3 linked regions of the Drosophila melanogaster genome follow. The gene in region 1 interacts genetically with each later gene. Each region holds a gene or a part of one and is shown on either strand. Other genes may lie near its edges.

Region 1 (4,807 bases):
ATTGTTCAATAATATTTCACTCTAATTTGGCATACTGAACAAAATATGGGATTTCGGAGAATTTATTTCGGCACATTTTAAACACATTTTCGATCGAATTCGTTAAATTATTACAGTAATTTTTCTCTGGAAACGCATTTATTTCATTTTATATATATTTATGTTTATTATTTATTTATTCACACATGCAAATTCGTGCATAAATTTGGCATATTCTATTTCTTTATGAATTTATGATGTTTTGGCCAATTATTGTCACTAATTGTAAGTGATGTTTGTTTTAATGATTTAAATTATTTTTACAGATATACTTCCCCCTATTTCTCTCAGTGTTGCTTGTTTACAAGGTTTAGAGTGTGCCACCCATTCACAATTTGCCAGCAAAGTCACTTGCTTCTCGCATTTCACTCACCTGTGCCATTTGCGGCTTGCGATTGAACTCGCGCGGATCCAAGCTGCTGGGGTCCAGGTGGATGACCAGGTTGCAGAGCAGCACGCCGTCGCGCAGCGTCATCGCCAGGATGCGGATCTCGGCGTCCGGCTGGGCGGCCTTGTGGTCGGGCGGAATGACCTTGCACCTGGTCAGCCAGGCGACGCACTCGCGCCACAGATCCCCGTTCACGCCGGCCACGCCCCCAAAACTGTTGCTGCTACTGCTGCTGGCCATCTCGCAGTGGTTGGGTTGGGTATTACTATATGGATTGGGATTTGGTTTTCGTTTCGGATTTGGAGGAGGGGTTGCGGGTGGGGCGCTGGCGTTGGCGGTGATGGTGTGAAGTGGGGCGCGGGCCCAACTGGCAAGTGTTGGAGGGGGGAGGAGGAGGGTGGGTGGGTGCTACTCGCGTCGCGTTAATGGACACAATTGAGACTCATCAGTTGGCCGTTGCGATTGGATTGGTGAACCCGAGCACAGATACACAGAGCAAAAACGGAAGGCAATGAAGAGCACAACACTAGCCAACACCACACACAACAAAAACAACGATTTCGGGACAATTCGAGCGTAGTGGGGTGTATCGCGTTCGCGAAGGGCTCACCCTGTGCACCGGATACGCGCGAACAGTGCTTGCGGCTGCCGAGTTGCTCAGAAAGTGCTCGCCACTGTGGTTTTAAAACTAATTTACTTTATTGCAAAATATTGCGTTTATCGAAGAGGAAGAGCATACTCGACTTCGATAACAGTCTGGGCGGCCGTGTAACCGCTTGCGGCTCCTTCGAAAATACCAACTGCATGTGTGGTATTTACGATATGTTAATAGCATTGTTACTTTGTGACGAAAATTAATTGTGCACCTCGGTATGCTTTAATATAACAAGTTGATGTAAATTAGTAAGTAGAGTAAATACACATGACATATATTGACTCCAAAAAAAAAGTCACCAAATAATCTTGCAGAAGAATATTAAGTAAATTTTCCCTTACAGTATTTGTTTTAATTTCGTAATTTATAATCATATAAAATAGTTCTACGATAAGGAGAATTCCTATCTGGGGGTAATTCAGCTGTCCTCGAATTTCTCAGGTAATATTTTGAATATTTCCGTTCAATTTTTATAATTAGTGCACAAGAAATTCATTATATTACAGACACTAGCCTTTCAGAGGAAGTAAGCAAGCAAAATTGTATGTCAAATGTAAATGTAAGATGTAAGTGTAAAATGAAATGTTTTTCATTGAAAGTCGCGTAAATATTCCAAATTCTCGTGCCCGCGGTGGCGCTTCGTAGTTGGTTTTTTCTCCTGCGCCGACGACGGTCACTTTAAAGCGGCGAGCAATAAAAAAAATGTAAATTGTGCAGCAAGTGAAATTGAAAAGCAATATATTTAAGTGTGATCTGTGTGTTGTGGTGTGTGGGTGTGTGTTCGACATACAGCTAATAGGCGAGCGGGCGACGGCGCCGCACCCGCCTCGCCACGCCCCCATCGGCGAATCGAAAAAGAGGCGAAGCAACGCGATGGCCTCCCAACATTCCAGTTGGCGTTTTGGCAAGCGGAGCAAATTACAATTACGCATCAAAGGTAATGTAACGAATGTGCTAATTGACATCAAACACGGCGACGGTGGCATCGGCATAATGGCGCAATCACTCCGTTCGACGTTTTGTCTCACATGGCTCGCCCCACCGACCCCCGCCATTCCATTCAGTTTGCATTATTTTGCATTACGGCGAGGCATAAGCATTACAGCAGCAGCTGTTGTTGTTGTTGTTGTTGTTGTGGATCTTGAGCCGACCTCATCCCCAACCCCACCTACCCCTCCAGCAGCCTTCTGTTTATTGGACTTGGCCAATAATTGGTAGCAAAGGGTTCTTTTTTTTGTTGACATTGATGGCAACTAGCAACAACAATAATATGTTGTTGAGGGGGGCGGGAATGAGCACACTGGCAGCATTGCCCATAACGGTAACGATGTAGCAGCGATGCAACAGTGATGTACGCATGTATCGACAGCATGGCATTCTGATCAACATTTCTCCTGATCTCCTCAGTGTTTCCTCCGTTATTTATACATTTGTTGTTGTTCTCGTTTCTATTTTCTATTTAGTTTTTATTTTTATTTATGTATTTTTTGGTTTTATTTTGGTTACTTTTGTTGTTGTTGCTGTTGCCATTTGACCAAATTCTTCGACTACATGTTGGCCGATTATTTATAGAACGGTCGCCACAGCATAGAGAGAGCCCCCAAAAACGATGACGCAGCACAAGCAACAACATAGACATTCACTAAACATCGACCATAACAATAACAGCGATAGCAACAGCAGAAACAACAACAATAACAACAGCCACTACTAGAACTACAAAAACAATAACATACGAAATGCTCAGCTTGGTTTCTTCCATTCATCGTGTCCTTCACTCTTTCGTTCTTCTTCGCTCGTCATGCTCTCTCCTTTCTCTCTCTCTCTCTCTCTGTCGCTCTCCCCCTTTTCCAACCAAATCCATCATGCAAGTACAGTTAGCTGTAACGACGACAACTGCAACAACAACGAAACTGTTATGACGCTGTGTTGTTGTCATTTCACGTGCACAGCCTGCGTCAGCGTCGGCAGAGACAGAGGCAGCGGCTGAGCTGATTAGCTTTCCACGATCCACGATCAATTTCACTTTGATGGCTTTCTAATGCAAGTCGCTGTGTGCATGCATGTGTGCACCTCCTCTTGACCGTAAAAACCCCATGTACTATGATGATTTGAACATGTGCATATCCGAAAAAGCTATTACTTGCAAATAATATTTATGTAATATTCAAGTACATCGATGTGGCCATATTATTCATTCATAAAAGGTTGTTTTAATTAGTAATTAGTGTGTACGGATCTGATAAGAAAAGCAATGAAACTTTTCCTCCATTACAGTTTCGCAGGATCCGGAGGACTTCTACCGCCTGGATCCACAGCGATCGGCCGCCGAAAATGCATTCGAAATATACTCGATGCTCTGTTTGGAGGAGACGCGGGACACGAAGCGCCTGTTTCTGCTCAACGCGCTGGCCTCGCTCTGTTTGGGGGCCCGAAAGGGCTCCCACCACAGCAATATACGCTTCACCACCGAGGAGCTGCTCTACTGGTAAGATGCCCGTTGGGGAAACCATTGTTCTTAACATGGCTAATTGATCGCCCTTAATTGCAGCCTTAGTGCCTCACTGGTGCACACCTTCACCCAAGTGCGAGCGGCGGCACTGCGAACGATCCGGTATGCCATTAGCACGCCCAATGACATCAAGACGTTCAATGCACTGCAGCTGCAGCACCTGCTCTGCCGCTCCATCGATCTAATGCTGAAGAACGACGACGAGCGCGTCCAGGCACTGAAGCTGGTCCGCAAGATGCTGGCCATCGCGCCGGAGGACATCAGTCCGGCGGTGGTGCGCTGCCTGGTCTCGCTGGCGGATAGCGGCATCGAGGAGAACGACAATCTGTTGCGTGCCTGCCTGGCCACCCTGGCAGAGTTCGCTGTGCTCAATCCGGCGCTGCTGATCGTCTGCGGCGGCGTCACCTCCATAACCCGCAATGTGCTAGAGTGCCACAATCCCCGCATCGCTGAGAGCCTGTGCGGCGTGCTTCTGTACCTGCTCGAGTGGCCGCAAACGAGGAACATCTGCGGTGTGCGGCTGGACTGCCTGGCAGCTCCTTATTGCGATTTCACCTACCGGCAGAGTATCGTCGATAAGAACAAGTGAGTGCCCTAGTGAAGATCCCACCAATCCCTCCTTGAATACTGCAGCTTGGCTGCAGAATACTACAAATGGGTTACCCAAAACAAAAAGCAGTTTATCAAGCCAGATGTAAGACGGATCCACTTCACTCATTAATTCGCCGAAAGTAATTTAATGTAGAGTAATTATATCTGCTGTTGAATTGTAACCAAATAATCGATGAACATCACGCCGTCTTTTGAGATTATCAAACAGCGGATGCAAACATGAAATTCTAAAATAGATAACTAAAGGCAGCACGGCCATTGACCTCGTTTCATGCTCTAAATGAGTAGTTAAATCGGGCGAAACACTTTTGGAAAATCGAACAAGACTATCCCACAAACATCTACTGAAGTTTTTTCACAAGATGTACTACTACAAGTTGTAGATAAGCGCTATCAGTTACATCATTCTTTTATAAATAAAACTATCTTTCAGGGATGCGCGCGAACTTCGCTACACCAGCTGTCGGCTGGCACTGCTGTCTGTGCTGCGCAGCTGGACGGGCACCCTCGAATTCTGTGATCCTAGCAAACCCTCAGGCCTGAAAGCAATAGTCGACGCTCTGTATTTGAACCAGATCGAAGTCAGAGTGAGTACATTCCC
Region 2 (5,954 bases), on another chromosome or scaffold:
TATTTTTGGTAATGATTGAAGAAACATTCGTTGTTAAACGAATAAGGCCTCACAAGGCTTGGCGATCGAATTCCGGCTCATCGGCATAAAAGTGTCCGCCGCTTGTCATTCCATCGCTGCACTCGAAGTTCAAACAGAGCATTTTCAGGGGAAATTCGTGCGGTAGCTGCAAACGAAGCACAAAGTGTCACATTAACATAAGGACTTTCGAATATATGTATGTGCTTTAAATATTACTCACCCGTTCCATGATGTCATGCCTAATGTCAGTGGCCGCGGCAAATAGCTCTAGGGTTTGATGAGCTGAGCGTTTCGATAAGCTGGCCAGCGTGTCCAAGACGAAGGCGTCTGTGATGCCCAGGCAATAGCAAATGTTCAGATACCGAAGGCGCTCATTGTTGGCCACCAAAAGGGAGAGCTGCGTTTCTCCAATCTCACGAGCGGACTGTATGGAAAGGCACTCTAATCGACTCAACTTCGCCAAGTGGTGAACACACAGATCGTCACGAGGCTTGCAGACCAGCCACCGGAGACACTTCAAAGCACTGATGTACTGCGCCTGCTCCTCGTCAATCCAGCGTTTGCGGTGCAGGATGAGGTATTCCAACTGAATGGAGCACTGGCTTTTGGCCAGTGCCTTGAACAGGCGCGTTTTCATATCCTCCGAGCAGTATAATTGCAGGTACTTGAGGTTTACAAACTGCGGCAGGACCAACAGATCGGCGTCGCAGTCATTGAACGTCAGCTTCTCCAGGTGGCGGCAGTTGGTGGCCAGCATCCTGAGATTGCTGGTAGTCAGAAAGCGTTTGGCGTTGCGCAGCTGAAGGCATCGCAGCTTCCTCATGGGTTTCACAATTGTTGCGAATTCCGAGGCGGTCACGTCGTCGTACAAGCCAAGTTCCAGCATCTCGCTAAACTGACGTACTTCTTGTACTGTGAAGGGAGAAGCAATTAAATAATATTGTTGTGATAAGGTGAACATTAAATAGTTCTTACACTCCTTGCGTTCAAAGCTCTCCAGGCTCAGACTGTTGACCCGCGGAAGGTGTATCCCAATGGCTTTTATTAGATCCTTGCTGGTGCTCTTGTAGTTACGCACGTGCACCTTTTCCAGGGAGCTCATCCTCAATAAATACGGTTGCGCCCGTGCCACTGTTGCATTGTATATAGAGATGGACTTCAGTCGGTAGCAGTGTCTGCTGATCATCGGGAGCAGCTGCAGCGGGTGATCATCGTCAAAGTGGGATTCCAGTGTACCGATGCGACTGCCACAGAGCCACAGAAAGGTGCGCCAATCCTCCAGAGTCCTTATACTCATATCCTTGTCAACAACATCCTGGAAATCATGGCGATGCAGGCGAAGAAAGGCATCCCTAAAAATGCGACAGCATCGCGCCAAGTGCAACTGGTCCTCCAAGCTTAGAAGCTTGAAGATGAACAACAGAGAACTGGGGTCCAAGTCCAGAATACTGGTGATGCGGGCCATTATTAGCTGACTATGCTCATTGCGCGGGACCGTCACAGGCGCCAAATGGCCAGATTAGCAAAGGCAACTGGTTTATGTACGCCTGACATGGAAAAATTTATCCCAAGTCGGTAAGTTCTATTTATTTACTAATTGGACTGGTGGCAGTGATGACAATTTTCGAAGTAAGAGTCTTTTGGCAAGATTCAAGCTAAAAGGTTAAAGCTAAGATATTTTAACTATTGTTTAAGCTTTGTTTCTTAATAGAATTACAGTAAATAATAACATGACCTTAAAGTAAATTTAAATAAATTTAAATTTAATCAATTTTAATTAAAAAAATCAATGTAAGTAATAAGTAACGTAATTTCAGTACATAAATTTTATACAATTGTCGGTGAAAGCTTAATTGTCATGACTATCTGCGAGCCAAAAGCACTAAAGTTCTAAAATCAATCGATTAGCTATCGATAGCCCCACTGGATCGCAGCCAACTTTGCTTTGTTGGGGATGCAAAATGCGAATGGCTCTTGAAGAAGAAGCAGCAGAGGGAGGAATTTCAACAAATTACCGAGGAAAAAGGCAAGAAACGGGCGAAGAAAGCAGTGTGTGTGCATTGGCAAGTGCATAACTCCTCACCACACACACGCACACGCACCGACATCGCAGGGAGCACACACACAAGCCCCAAATAGGACCGAGGTGACCAGGACAAAAACCCCAGCTTAGATGATGAGCAGCAGAACGCAGGACGCGGACGGTGCCTCGATCAGATTCAGCGACCACACACTGGACAAGGCCACCAAGGCCAAGGTGACGTTGGAGAACTACTACAGCAACCTGGTGACGCAGTATGGCGAGCGAAAGCAGCGCCTCGCAAAGCTGGAGGCTCAGCTGAAGGACGAGAGCTTGTCGGAGGCGCAGCGCCAGGAGAAGCGTCTGCAGCATGCCCAGAAGGAGACGGAGTATCTCCGGCTGAAGCGATTGCGCCTCGGTGTGGAGGACTTTGAGGCCCTCAAAGTCATCGGACGCGGCGCGTTCGGTGAAGTGCGTTTGGTGCAGAAAAAGGACACGGGACATGTGTACGCCATGAAGGTGCTGCGCAAAGCGGACATGCTGGAAAAGGAGCAGGTGGCACACGTACGAGCCGAGCGCGATGTCCTGGTCGAGGCCGATCATCAGTGGGTGGTGAAGATGTACTACAGTTTCCAGGTGAGTGACGAGCGCCAGCTACAACAAAAACAATGATATAGGGTGGGTGGGAGAAAGGGTGATGGGGTGAAGGAGCGGGCGGCAGCGCACATAACAAAAGAATTGTGTTAAAACACGGACAAAAAAATCAATAAACCAATACAACGGCAAATGCCAAAAGCGCCTTTGCCAATCATATGGTCACGTCTCTCTTGCTCTCTCGCTTCCTCTCTCATTCTCTGCGTGGGCCGCCTTTGTTGTTTTTTTCTCGATTCTCTTTTGTCAACTTCTTCTCGGTGAAAGTTCTTGACACAGGCGAACCAGCCTACACTGAATCGCCATTTCTCTGACGTTAAATATTTGTTTAATAAGATATTTTTGCATATTACAATTATTGTACAATGAATGTAAATACAATTGCATTCATATATAAGTATTTTCTTACTCAGTAATAATGTGAGAATGTTTTTGAAATATCTTTCCACAGGATCCCGTCAATTTATATTTGATAATGGAGTTCTTGCCTGGTGGTGATATGATGACGCTTTTGATGAAGAAGGACACGCTATCCGAGGAGGGCACACAGTTCTATATCAGTGAGACGGCATTGGCGATCGATTCTATTCACAAACTCGGTTTCATACACAGGGATATCAAGCCCGATAACTTGCTGCTGGACGCGCGAGGGCATCTGAAGGTAAGTGGAATCCAGATAATTGAGATGAGCCCACTAAAAACTCTATTATTATTTTAGCTCTCCGACTTCGGACTGTGCACTGGCTTAAAGAAGTCGCATCGAACAGACTTTTATCGGGACTTGTCGCAGGCGAAACCATCCGATTTTATAGGCACGTGCGCCAGGTAAGATGTGAAAGAATCTAAGCTTGTATTTATTAAATAAACTAGCTTGTCCTGCAGTCCGATGGACTCCAAGCGACGTGCCGAGTCGTGGAAGCGAAATCGACGCGCCCTCGCCTACAGCACCGTGGGAACGCCGGACTATATTGCACCCGAAGTATTTCTGCAGACTGGCTACGGACCCGCCTGCGACTGGTGGTCCCTGGGAGTCATCATGTACGAAATGCTGATGGGCTATCCTCCATTCTGCTCGGACAATCCCCAGGACACCTACCGCAAGGTGATGAACTGGCGCGAGACGCTGATATTTCCCCCAGAGATCCCCATATCGGAGGAGGCCAAGGAGACGATCATCAACTTCTGCTGCGAGGCCGATCGCCGGCTGGGTTCCCAGCGCGGTCTGGAGGATCTGAAGTCCGTGCCGTTCTTCCGGGGAGTTGACTGGGAGCACATACGTGAGCGTCCCGCGGCCATACCCGTTGAGGTGCGCTCAATCGACGATACGTCCAACTTCGACGAGTTTCCCGATGTGTCGCTGGAGATACGTAAGTATATTTTTAAGCAAAGGGACGAGCACACAGACTAACGTGCATCCATTGCAGCATCGGCGCCCATACCGCAGGGCGGTGAGATTGCGAAGGACTGGGTCTTTATCAACTACACGTACAAACGATTCGAGGTGCGAAATTTGGAGTGAATCCAGCAGAGCAGGAACTGGAGCAGGAGCAGTAGCAGTAGCAGCTTGAAGGTTGCCGCACTTTGCCACCCATTTTATCACCACCACAGCCGTCGTCTCTCTAACACCATCACCACCAAGAGCATTCTCCACGCTAAACGAAATCCCCGATTTTCCTTTTTGAATGTCTTACCTACATGTGTATTTAAATACTAGCTAACATTTGTGATTCCAAACAAGAGAAGAATATGATAACGCGAACAAACGATGTATTGTATGTAAAAAAGTCTTAGAGCGTCGCCCGCGCCTCGGGCTAGGTTAAACGCTATACTAATCCTCAAATGTCCTTCCATTGGCTTTGTTCAATCCCTAATCCCGATCTTAATCGTTTAAACGTTGTGTTTGTAAACCAGTTCCCCATATTAGGGACCCATTCGGCAATTCTTTATATATATATATATTGTTTACTTATTGGGCAGCAGCGAAATACCCATAAATTTATTATTTAGCAAATTAAAAATGTTATAACTTTTAGGCACGTTAATTGTACGTATATGTTTTGTATCAACTTGTAATGAAACAAAGTCTTAATACATAGTGAACCCCACACACAAAACCGAATCCGAAAATCTATCACACAAATTAGTTACTAATGCCAATAGCAACAAAAGCTAATCTAGACAGCAGAATAAATAAAAGTATGTTTAAATATCGGTTTCGTTCTATGTACACCTGCCCCATCCCACCCCACCACAACCCGCGCCCACGGACACGAATATAGATTTAAAAACATTCTACTTCCCGCTGGAGTTTTTAGTTCCAAGTAATTGTAGTTTGAGCAAAAGTGAATTATTGAAAAAGTTACCGAGTTACCGCTGGCAAGTATAAATCCAATTACATAGCAAACACTCAACGCCGAGCAGTTGCAGAATGCAAACTTAAAATAATTGATAATATACCTATAAATAAATTAAACGAGTAAACAAGTTTTAAGAAATTATTTTTGGTAATAGAATACAATAATAGTAAGCATACTGATAATTCGATAATAATGCTACACACACAGCAACATGAAATGCAATAATAAATGAAACATGTGCATAATAACTAACAAATACATGCTTTTTACTTGAATTCGACTCGATCTGGGCAATCAGTGCATTACTTACAGGAGTGCTAGCATCCTTGAAGCATTCTATGAGGTGGATGTGGTTCATGAAATCATACACCGTGGACATCAACCTTGGAATCATCTCCCTATTTCCACTTGAATCATGAAACCTATCTCAAAGAAACCTTAAGCTTTTGAGTTTCCCGTAGTGTAACAACATGTGAATGGGTATGGATACGACGAACCTTCATCTTTAACCTAAATGGTATTGTATTGTATTTTCGAAATAAGTAAGCATGAGGAAACCAAAAAGTAACACGACACAAATGCTAGGCTTTGTACATTTAAATGTATGTATATATTTTGTCGATCTTTTCATCTGCACTTCTCTCGATATTTCCCTATCTGCACTCGCGTTCGATTTTTGATTTGTGTTTTGTGTGTTGATGAGAGGGCGTTGATTTCATTTTCTGCAGTTCTGCAGTTTCTGTATCTGTATCAGAACAATGTGGCTTGGCTTTAATTGAGTGCAACATCCGAAACCATTACAGACATGAAAATAAAGATTTCAAATTGAATTGGTCAGGCGGTTAGGCTCGAAAATCGAAAGTAACTTGTTTTCCATCTGCGATTTAATGTGTGTATGTGTGTCG
Region 3 (8,038 bases), on another chromosome or scaffold:
TGCGTCATCACAGATGCTACAATCTCCTCATTGCCACGATCCTGCTCGGGATCTGCAGCTCCCACTGCTCCTCCGTTGCTTCCGCCGTTTGCATCTGCATTGAGGGCGGCAAAGAAGTCTGCGCTATAGTCCGCCGTAATTCCGCTCGGCAACTTTTCCTTCTCCTTGCGTCGCCCTCGGATTTTAAGCGATCGGCGCACCTCGTCCAGGCGGAGCAGCTCGTCGGTGCTCATGCTGCCGGTGACGCCAGTCACGCCTCCCATTCCCGGGCCACCAGAGGTGCCCTTAGCCTCTTTGCGCAGTTTTTTTTCGCGCTTGCGACGCTCCTTGTCCTCATCCCCAGCGCTCTTCTTCATAAAGTTGAACATCTTATGTGGTGTGTGGGGTCCTTAGGTGCTAGCTGCGGAAGGGGGGCGTTGGTGGGTTAATGCGAAGTTCAAGGGCGTGACCAAAAGTCTGGACTAATTCGATTTGCACTGTTCTCTTTGCTGCGCTCTATCCAGGGGTGGATCTAGACAAACGTGCAGGGCATACCGTTCATTTCCAAACTTGAAATTACAACTTACATTTTTAAAATCAGTAACACAATTTTAATTCACTGAATAGTTTAAAGTACGGTATTTATGTGATTTGATTTTACAAAAACATTTAAGGTGCCCATAATCCACGTTTAAGGTCCCCTGGATTTCGCCCCTGTACTGCTCAGTCCTGTTCTCTTCGTATTGCTATCTCGCTCTTACAATTGCACAGCCACTTCGAGCAATGCACCCGCCCGCACAACAACCGTTATCTTGCCACGGTGTTTGTGTGAATGTGCACATTTGCAAATCACATAAACAATGGCATATTTCTTCACTTTTGCACCCACATTTCTTCTGCTGCGGTGGCGGCTTTACTTTTGTCATTGAGTCGTTGCCATTTGCCCTGTTTCTGTTATTATTTATTATTCAATTATGCGCTTTCTTTTCCACAGCTAGCATACATTTGTTTTGTTTTCACACGGTAACACACACACACACAAAGAAAGGGGGGCTCGTGGCTGCGTTGGTATTGATTGCTCGAGACTGCACTCTTCCCTTCTCTCTACACCATCTCTTCATATTTTTCATTTCTCCAACTAATTGAATGCAACCGATTCTGCCTCATTACTTATGCTCATGCTTTTCCAATTGCTCATATTCGGCGAACGCTCTTATTCGGCCACAGCCCACAGTGATACACACGATAGGCAGAAAAAGAAAGTTGAGAGTCAATAACACCTTTGTTTTTGCACTTTTCTACGCCTTTTTTGATAACACACACAAACATTGGGAGGGACTCACGCACACACAGTCGCGCTGGAGTCGTTATTTGTTTATTTGAAAGTGGCATGCTATGTTCTCCCTTCCGATTGGGTTGCAAGTTATTTACCTCGTTTTGTGCCAATGGGGCACTTTATTCGCTACTCGTTTTTTGTTTTTTTTTCGGATTCAAAGGAGACTTCGCGTTCTGCATAAACAAATCTGAGCAAGAGTGCCCAAAGAGGTGAATATCAAATTTGATCTGGGAAACTGGAAAAGAGAACTGACTTTTTCTAGCTACTTACACATGGTCATACTTATCAGAGTATCTACTTAGTGCGGACAGGAACCATATATAAAATTGATAGGGCTTCCAAATTTTTGATCAATTATGCTTTGAAAAGTTATAACAATTTGTCGATATAAGAAATAGTTTTGTATACATAGCATATAAAATAAAGTTTTTAAAAATGAATTTAATAACAATACAGCATTATTATTAATCTGCAGTTCATACATTCAAATTTGAAGTGAATTCTAGTTAAAGAGTCGGCCTAGACAGTCAGAAAACAGAACTATTGCCTTCTAAAACATTTAATTTAAATTTAAGGGATATTTGCGCGTTGTACAGCTCTTAAATAATGTCTCTCTCTGGCATCTTTCCACCGTAACAGTCGCCTAACTATCGCTAAAACAGGTGGCAACGCGGATCGAATCAGTTATCGAGCCAGTTATCGAAAAAAAGTGAAGCGTAAAAACTAAACGGTACTTGGAAAATTTACTTTGCCTGTGTGCGTGCTTCTGTTTATGAAAACTACGTTTTTAAGCATTTGCAATTGATGCAACGTTGCTTTGGAAGGCAAGAAAACACCAAGTGGAAACGCCCGGGTGGCGGAAATCGACTTCCAGTGCGCGAGTGCGAGATTGTGTGTGTTTCGTTCCGTCCTCTGGTGTCTGGCACCTTAACACAACAACAACTACAGCAGCAGCAGCAACAACAACAATAGCAAGCAGCAACAACAACACACGCACAATAATAAGAAGGCCTGTGACGTTGTCGCTGCCGTCACCATCTAAAGGAAAATACCAAAACGAGTAGGAAAACAAACCGCAGTGCAGTAGGGAAAGCAAAAGTCGGGTTTTTTTTTTTACAAAACTAGGTGGGTTCTTGTATTTTTCACCAGCATTTCCACAATTTCCATTTCCACGAAGTGATTTGACATGTTGCGCTGCTAGGTCGCCGCTGCCCACACACACTCGCACACTCGGTGGTTCACTCACTCAGCCACTCACACCCACACGGCCAGACAATCACACGCACACGGCCAGACACTCACACATACACTCACACTCATACACCTTTGTGGCAGACACGCGTACTGTCTGTCTCCCTCCCCCTCGCACCCACAGTCTGGCCTCACTCGCACTTTGCAATGCAGCCCTGTCTGTGTGACTGCCTCGGTGTGCGAGCGCCTGTCCGCTTATGCCTGTGTGTGTATTTTGTCGATTTTTATTTTATGTACATTTGTTTACAGTTTTAGATAGATAGCGACATTTGTACAGCCGGCGGCCATCCGTCGTTGACATTTTCGCAAATTGTAAATGAATATGCTTTTGCTTTTGCAGTTGTGCCAGTGTGAGTGCGAGTACGAGTGCGAGTGCCGCCTGCGAGTCCCCTGTATGTGTACATATGTATATGTATGTATTATATATGCATATACATAAGTTCATGAACAGTCGCCGCCGTCGACTTGTTTTGATTTAATTTCGCGCTAAATGCAATCGCGAACAATTTTCACTCGTATCGCCGTGTCGCTGCGTAACATGGCGGGGAATTTCGTTTGAAGCCGAAAGTGGCAGCAACAACAAGGCGACGATGGCGCCTACATCTGCATGTGGGCCAGTGACTAAGAATCCAATCCCATACCATGCCACACCATACCAACCCATCCAATTCGATACAATCAGAATCACAGTCCTCAATCCAATTCAATCCCTTTCTGGCGACGGAAATGCCGCAAATGTTTTGCACCAGCTGCTGACGCAAGCGCCAACTGCATTTGTCATAAACATGCAAAATGACAATAACAATTGTTTACTATCAGCGTGAGATAGGCGATGTGGGAAGTATATATCTGGATAGACTTGGCAGCCTTTTAGTGTCTGTTTCCCCTTTTTTGATAGCTAGCTCATTTGGGAACTCCATTTGTCCACTTTGACTAGTTTATGTCGACAGTTGGCGGATCAGTTAATATCTAGTACATGTTGAATCCCTGAAGGTAAAGGTGTTACTAGACGAACCCTCTGCTAAAGCCTTTTTCTTTTCGTCGATCGCATTCTTAGTTTAAGTATTTCAAACTCAGCATGAATATAAAGGATTCACTGTACTCCTCTTACAGGTCCCTCATTAGCTTGTCCCTAGGGTTAGTGAAACAGCCTCAACACGAATTACCTACCGTTTGTTCTTCAGCGGCGATCGACTGTGGTTGCCAGCGCCCCAGCGCCAGGATCTGCCTCTAGGATCCCGGAATCGCCCACCACCACAGGGAGCAACATCATTAACATCATCTACAGCCAATCCACCCATCCAAACAGCAGCCCCACCAGCGGCAGTGCAGAGAAATTCAGCTGGCAGCAATCCTGGCCAAGCAGGACCTCCGCGGCCCCTACACACGATTCCGGAACCATGTCAATAAACACAACTTTCGACCTCAGCTCGCCCAGCGTTACATCGGGTCATGCGCTTACGGAACAGACTCAGGTCGTAAAGGAGGGGTGGCTGATGAAGAGGGGCGAGCACATAAAGAACTGGCGCCAGCGCTACTTCGTGCTCCACTCCGATGGAAGACTGATGGGTTACCGCAGCAAGCCGGCAGATAGTGCCAGCACGCCATCGGACTTCCTGCTCAACAACTTTACGGTGCGCGGCTGCCAGATCATGACCGTCGATCGGCCCAAGCCATTCACCTTCATCATCCGCGGCCTGCAATGGACCACGGTAATCGAAAGGACATTTGCCGTCGAATCAGAATTAGAGCGCCAGCAGTGGACGGAGGCCATTCGCAACGTATCCAGCCGGCTCATAGATGTGGGTGAGGTGGCTATGACGCCATCTGAACAGACAGACATGACAGACGTGGACATGGCCACCATTGCCGAGGACGAGCTTTCCGAGCAGTTCTCCGTACAGGGAACGACTTGTAATAGCAGCGGCGTTAAGAAAGTGGTAAGTACCACTCACCTGGTCATTGACCAAGGGCGTGATCGAGCTGACTCCATCTTATCTCCTTGTAGACTTTGGAGAATTTTGAGTTCCTCAAGGTGCTCGGCAAGGGCACCTTTGGTAAGGTTATTTTGTGTCGCGAGAAGGCTACCGCCAAGCTGTACGCGATCAAAATTCTTAAAAAGGAAGTTATTATCCAAAAGGACGAGGTGGCCCATACCCTGACCGAGAGTCGTGTGCTCAAGTCCACAAATCATCCGTTCCTCATTGTAAGTATTGCTAGTAATATATAATTTACGTTAAAAAACTAATATATGTCTTCCCTGTTTTGCAGTCACTCAAATATTCGTTTCAAACCAACGACCGCCTGTGTTTTGTGATGCAGTACGTGAACGGTGGCGAGCTCTTTTGGCATTTAAGCCACGAACGCATATTTACTGAGGATCGAACACGTTTCTATGGGGCAGAGATCATTTCTGCTCTGGGCTATCTGCATTCACAGGGCATAATTTATCGCGACTTAAAGCTGGAAAATCTTTTGCTGGACAAAGATGGTCACATAAAGGTCGCAGACTTCGGTCTGTGCAAGGAGGACATCACCTACGGCCGCACAACGAAAACCTTCTGCGGTACACCGGAATACCTAGCTCCGGAAGTATTAGATGACAATGATTATGGCCAAGCGGTGGACTGGTGGGGCACTGGCGTGGTCATGTACGAGATGGTGAGTTTGTTGCATCTGCAAATACTATTAACAAGTATTAAAAACAAAAATAATTCCTTACAGATCTGTGGTCGTCTTCCGTTTTACAATCGTGATCATGATGTGCTCTTTACATTGATTTTGGTGGAGGAGGTAAAATTCCCGCGTAATATCACAGATGAGGCGAAAAATCTGTTAGCAGGCCTTCTAGCTAAGGATCCCAAAAAGCGTTTGGGAGGTGGAAAGGATGATGTCAAGGAGATACAAGCACATCCATTCTTTGCGAGTATTAACTGGACAGATCTAGTGTTGAAAAAAGTAGGGCACAGTAAATCTGTCAGTTACCTATTCGTATATATTAATCGAATTTAAAATGCTTACCGTAGATACCGCCGCCTTTCAAGCCTCAGGTGACATCCGATACGGATACAAGGTACTTCGACAAGGAGTTTACGGGAGAGAGTGTGGAGTTGACGCCGCCGGATCCCACTGGCCCGTTGGGCTCCATAGCCGAAGAGCCGCTTTTCCCGCAGGTAAGATCTAGTTGAAAACATTTAAAGTGGGGTTCTGTATGCTCATCCAATTTTTGGTTTCACCGCCACAGTTCAGCTACCAAGGAGACATGGCCTCCACGTTGGGCACCTCGTCGCACATTAGTACTTCCACAAGTCTCGCATCGATGCAATAGAACAAGTTTACAAACTTTTACCAGCACACATCATGTTCTGCTTCATCACCTATTACTATACTATACCTATAACACATAGAAATGGGCAAAAGAAAACAACAGCAAGAATATATTAAATATTAATTATACCATGATAACGAAGGCAAGCAAAGGGTTTTCTTGCTAGTTTATATACACCAATAATAAGAGAATTGAATTGATAGTAACTTATTTTTGTATAATGAGAAAGGGAACGTTGAACGAAAGGGCAACAGCCGAAGCCGAGGAAAATAATTTACTACATATGATTATACACATATATATAAATATATATATATATATATATATAATTATATATACAACTAAATATAACACTTGGGGCATAGCGCTTGAAGTGATTAGTTAATTTTAAACGCAAGGAAAACATTTAACCAAGCGACTTAGAGCGACTTAGTGCTAGGATAAAGCATGCATCATCGGATCGCATCCTCTAGGGGTCGCTTAAGCTGATTGATTATACAGATTATTCACGCAGACAGCACTCACACAGCCACTTAGCATATAGCGAACATGAAGTTTAGTTAACTTGACAGCAACAAATCGAAATACACATATTCAACAACCGCCCCCACATGCAACACTCGTATATATAAATTATTTATACTCCAAAGAAGCAAAAAAGAAACAGAAACAATTACAAGTTATATATAATGTTAAAATTGCCTCTAATGTGCTGTGCTTTATGCAAAACTACAACAACAGAAACAAACAAACTAATAGTTAATAAACGAGGGAAACATACATCAATGCAGTTTATAGGCGCCAATAATTAGCAAGCAACTAAAAGTTATATTCAGGCAGAAACATATTTCGAAACAATAACGGCAACAGCAAAATGATTACAATTGACGCCATTTTTTATTATAATTTTTTACGAAAAATATATATTTGTAAATATTTATAAAAAAAAAGCAAAAACTCAAGAGTAAATGCAAAAAAAAAACAAAGGATGTATGTGTCGTGTGGAAAATGGAAGTCACCATTTGAGGCCACAGAAAAGGTTTAACCTTTGACACAATAAAAAATGTATCTTTGTCATTTCATTTTTGGCATTGAAAAGTTCATAACAAGTTTTGTATACTTAGAGCAAGTCAGCAAAAAATATATATAAATCAACCACAACAGACTTACAAATAGTTCCAAAAGGAAGATTAAAAATTATATAAACAGAAAAAAAACCTAAAAGAAAATAAAGAATTTTTGATATTTTTATATGCGCAATAAAAACAAAAATCAAGAATAAAACGAAACAAAAAGTTATTTTATATTTCGTAAAGAAAACAAAATAAATATTGTAAATAAAAATTATTAAATAAAATCAAGTTCGGGAATTTCAACTGAAAACAAAGAAATTGAAAGCATAATCTCTCTTCTAAATGTTAAACGAAACCTATCACTCGATGATTACAATAAACAGCAAATCGAAAACGAAGGGATATAGAAACGAAAAGAAAATGCCAAAGAAGCGGCGAAGTTAGGTGGAACTCGAGGAGAACCGAGAATTGAGGAGCCAGCAAGTCGGGATGTTTCGGTTGGAGTCTTGGACATGTGACGATGATGGTTCCAAATCATGACTAGGAACGAACTAACTAGCTAAAGCCAGCCTATGCTGAGGAGAGATATCAGATAGCTCCGATTGAACCAATCTTTATATCCTTGAACAGCTTAAAGTCCTTGCTTTCTGCTCACCAAGTTTGCGGCTGACATCTAGGCTAGCCAATATCAATCTCAGATCGATCAAGCAATACATAGACAAAATATAGAACCCCTAAGCATGGCTTAATAGACATACAACCCGAGAATCGACTTCAACAAGCCCAATAACCCTTCTGACAGACTCGTTAGGCAAGTCTGCCAGCCAAGGGGCAACCAGCTAGAAATCTAAAGCAAAGACTTAGAAATCGGTTAGGGACATCCGAAGCAAATTGAATACTAGCCTTAGTGAACGTCAACATCTCTGGTATCCCAAATCGAAGCATTTTCTACCCGTCGAAGGGGACGAAAGAGACCTTTCAAAATAGTTGTCTAAGTTTACTGAGTTGTGTGAGACAATTTTTGGTTTCGATTAAAAAAAAAAAAACAAAAACTTACACGAACTGCAAACT

The links.
Region 2: of rictor (region 1) and trc, changing one suppresses a phenotype caused by changing the other (phenotypic suppression), as found in Drosophila melanogaster (one study listed by BioGRID).
Region 3: of rictor (region 1) and Akt, changing one suppresses a phenotype caused by changing the other (phenotypic suppression), as found in Drosophila melanogaster (one study listed by BioGRID).

The regions. Positions count from the first base shown.
Region 1 is NC_004354.4:19,258,199-19,263,005, reverse strand, and holds the start of rictor (rapamycin-insensitive companion of Tor), read left to right. Parts: upstream 1-1,765; 5' UTR 1,766-1,955; coding exon 1,956-2,019; intron 2,020-3,162; exon of another isoform or gene 3,163-3,261; coding exon of another isoform or gene 3,262-3,289; intron 3,290-3,359; coding exon 3,360-3,570; intron 3,571-3,633; coding exon 3,634-4,179; intron 4,180-4,639; coding exon 4,640-4,793; intron 4,794-4,807. Other genes in the region: Vav guanine nucleotide exchange factor, read right to left, coding at 413-667.
Region 2 is NT_037436.4:19,830,333-19,836,286, reverse strand, and holds trc (tricornered), read left to right. Parts: upstream 1-1,982; 5' UTR 1,983-2,194; coding exon 2,195-2,677; intron 2,678-3,143; coding exon 3,144-3,353; intron 3,354-3,410; coding exon 3,411-3,517; intron 3,518-3,562; coding exon 3,563-4,059; intron 4,060-4,116; coding exon 4,117-4,211; 3' UTR 4,212-5,423; downstream 5,424-5,954. Other genes in the region: CG32221 (uncharacterized protein), read right to left, coding at 50-166, 242-933, 997-1,486. UniProt on the Drosophila melanogaster protein: Serine/threonine-protein kinase involved in controlling cell structure and proliferation of a variety of polarized outgrowths including epidermal hairs, bristles, arista laterals, and dendrites.
Region 3 is NT_033777.3:16,097,221-16,105,258, forward strand, and holds the start of Akt (Akt kinase), read left to right. Parts: upstream 1-2,007; 5' UTR 2,008-2,440; intron 2,441-3,539; exon of another isoform or gene 3,540-3,559; intron 3,560-3,679; 5' UTR 3,680-3,723; coding exon of another isoform or gene 3,724-3,966; coding exon 3,967-4,506; intron 4,507-4,574; coding exon 4,575-4,772; intron 4,773-4,837; coding exon 4,838-5,227; intron 5,228-5,290; coding exon 5,291-5,524; intron 5,525-5,592; coding exon 5,593-5,739; intron 5,740-5,810; coding exon 5,811-5,894; 3' UTR 5,895-8,038. Other genes in the region: Mhcl (myosin heavy chain-like), read right to left, coding at 1-368. UniProt on the Drosophila melanogaster protein: Serine/threonine kinase involved in various developmental processes. During early embryogenesis, acts as a survival protein. During mid-embryogenesis, phosphorylates and activates trh, a transcription factor required for tracheal cell fate determination.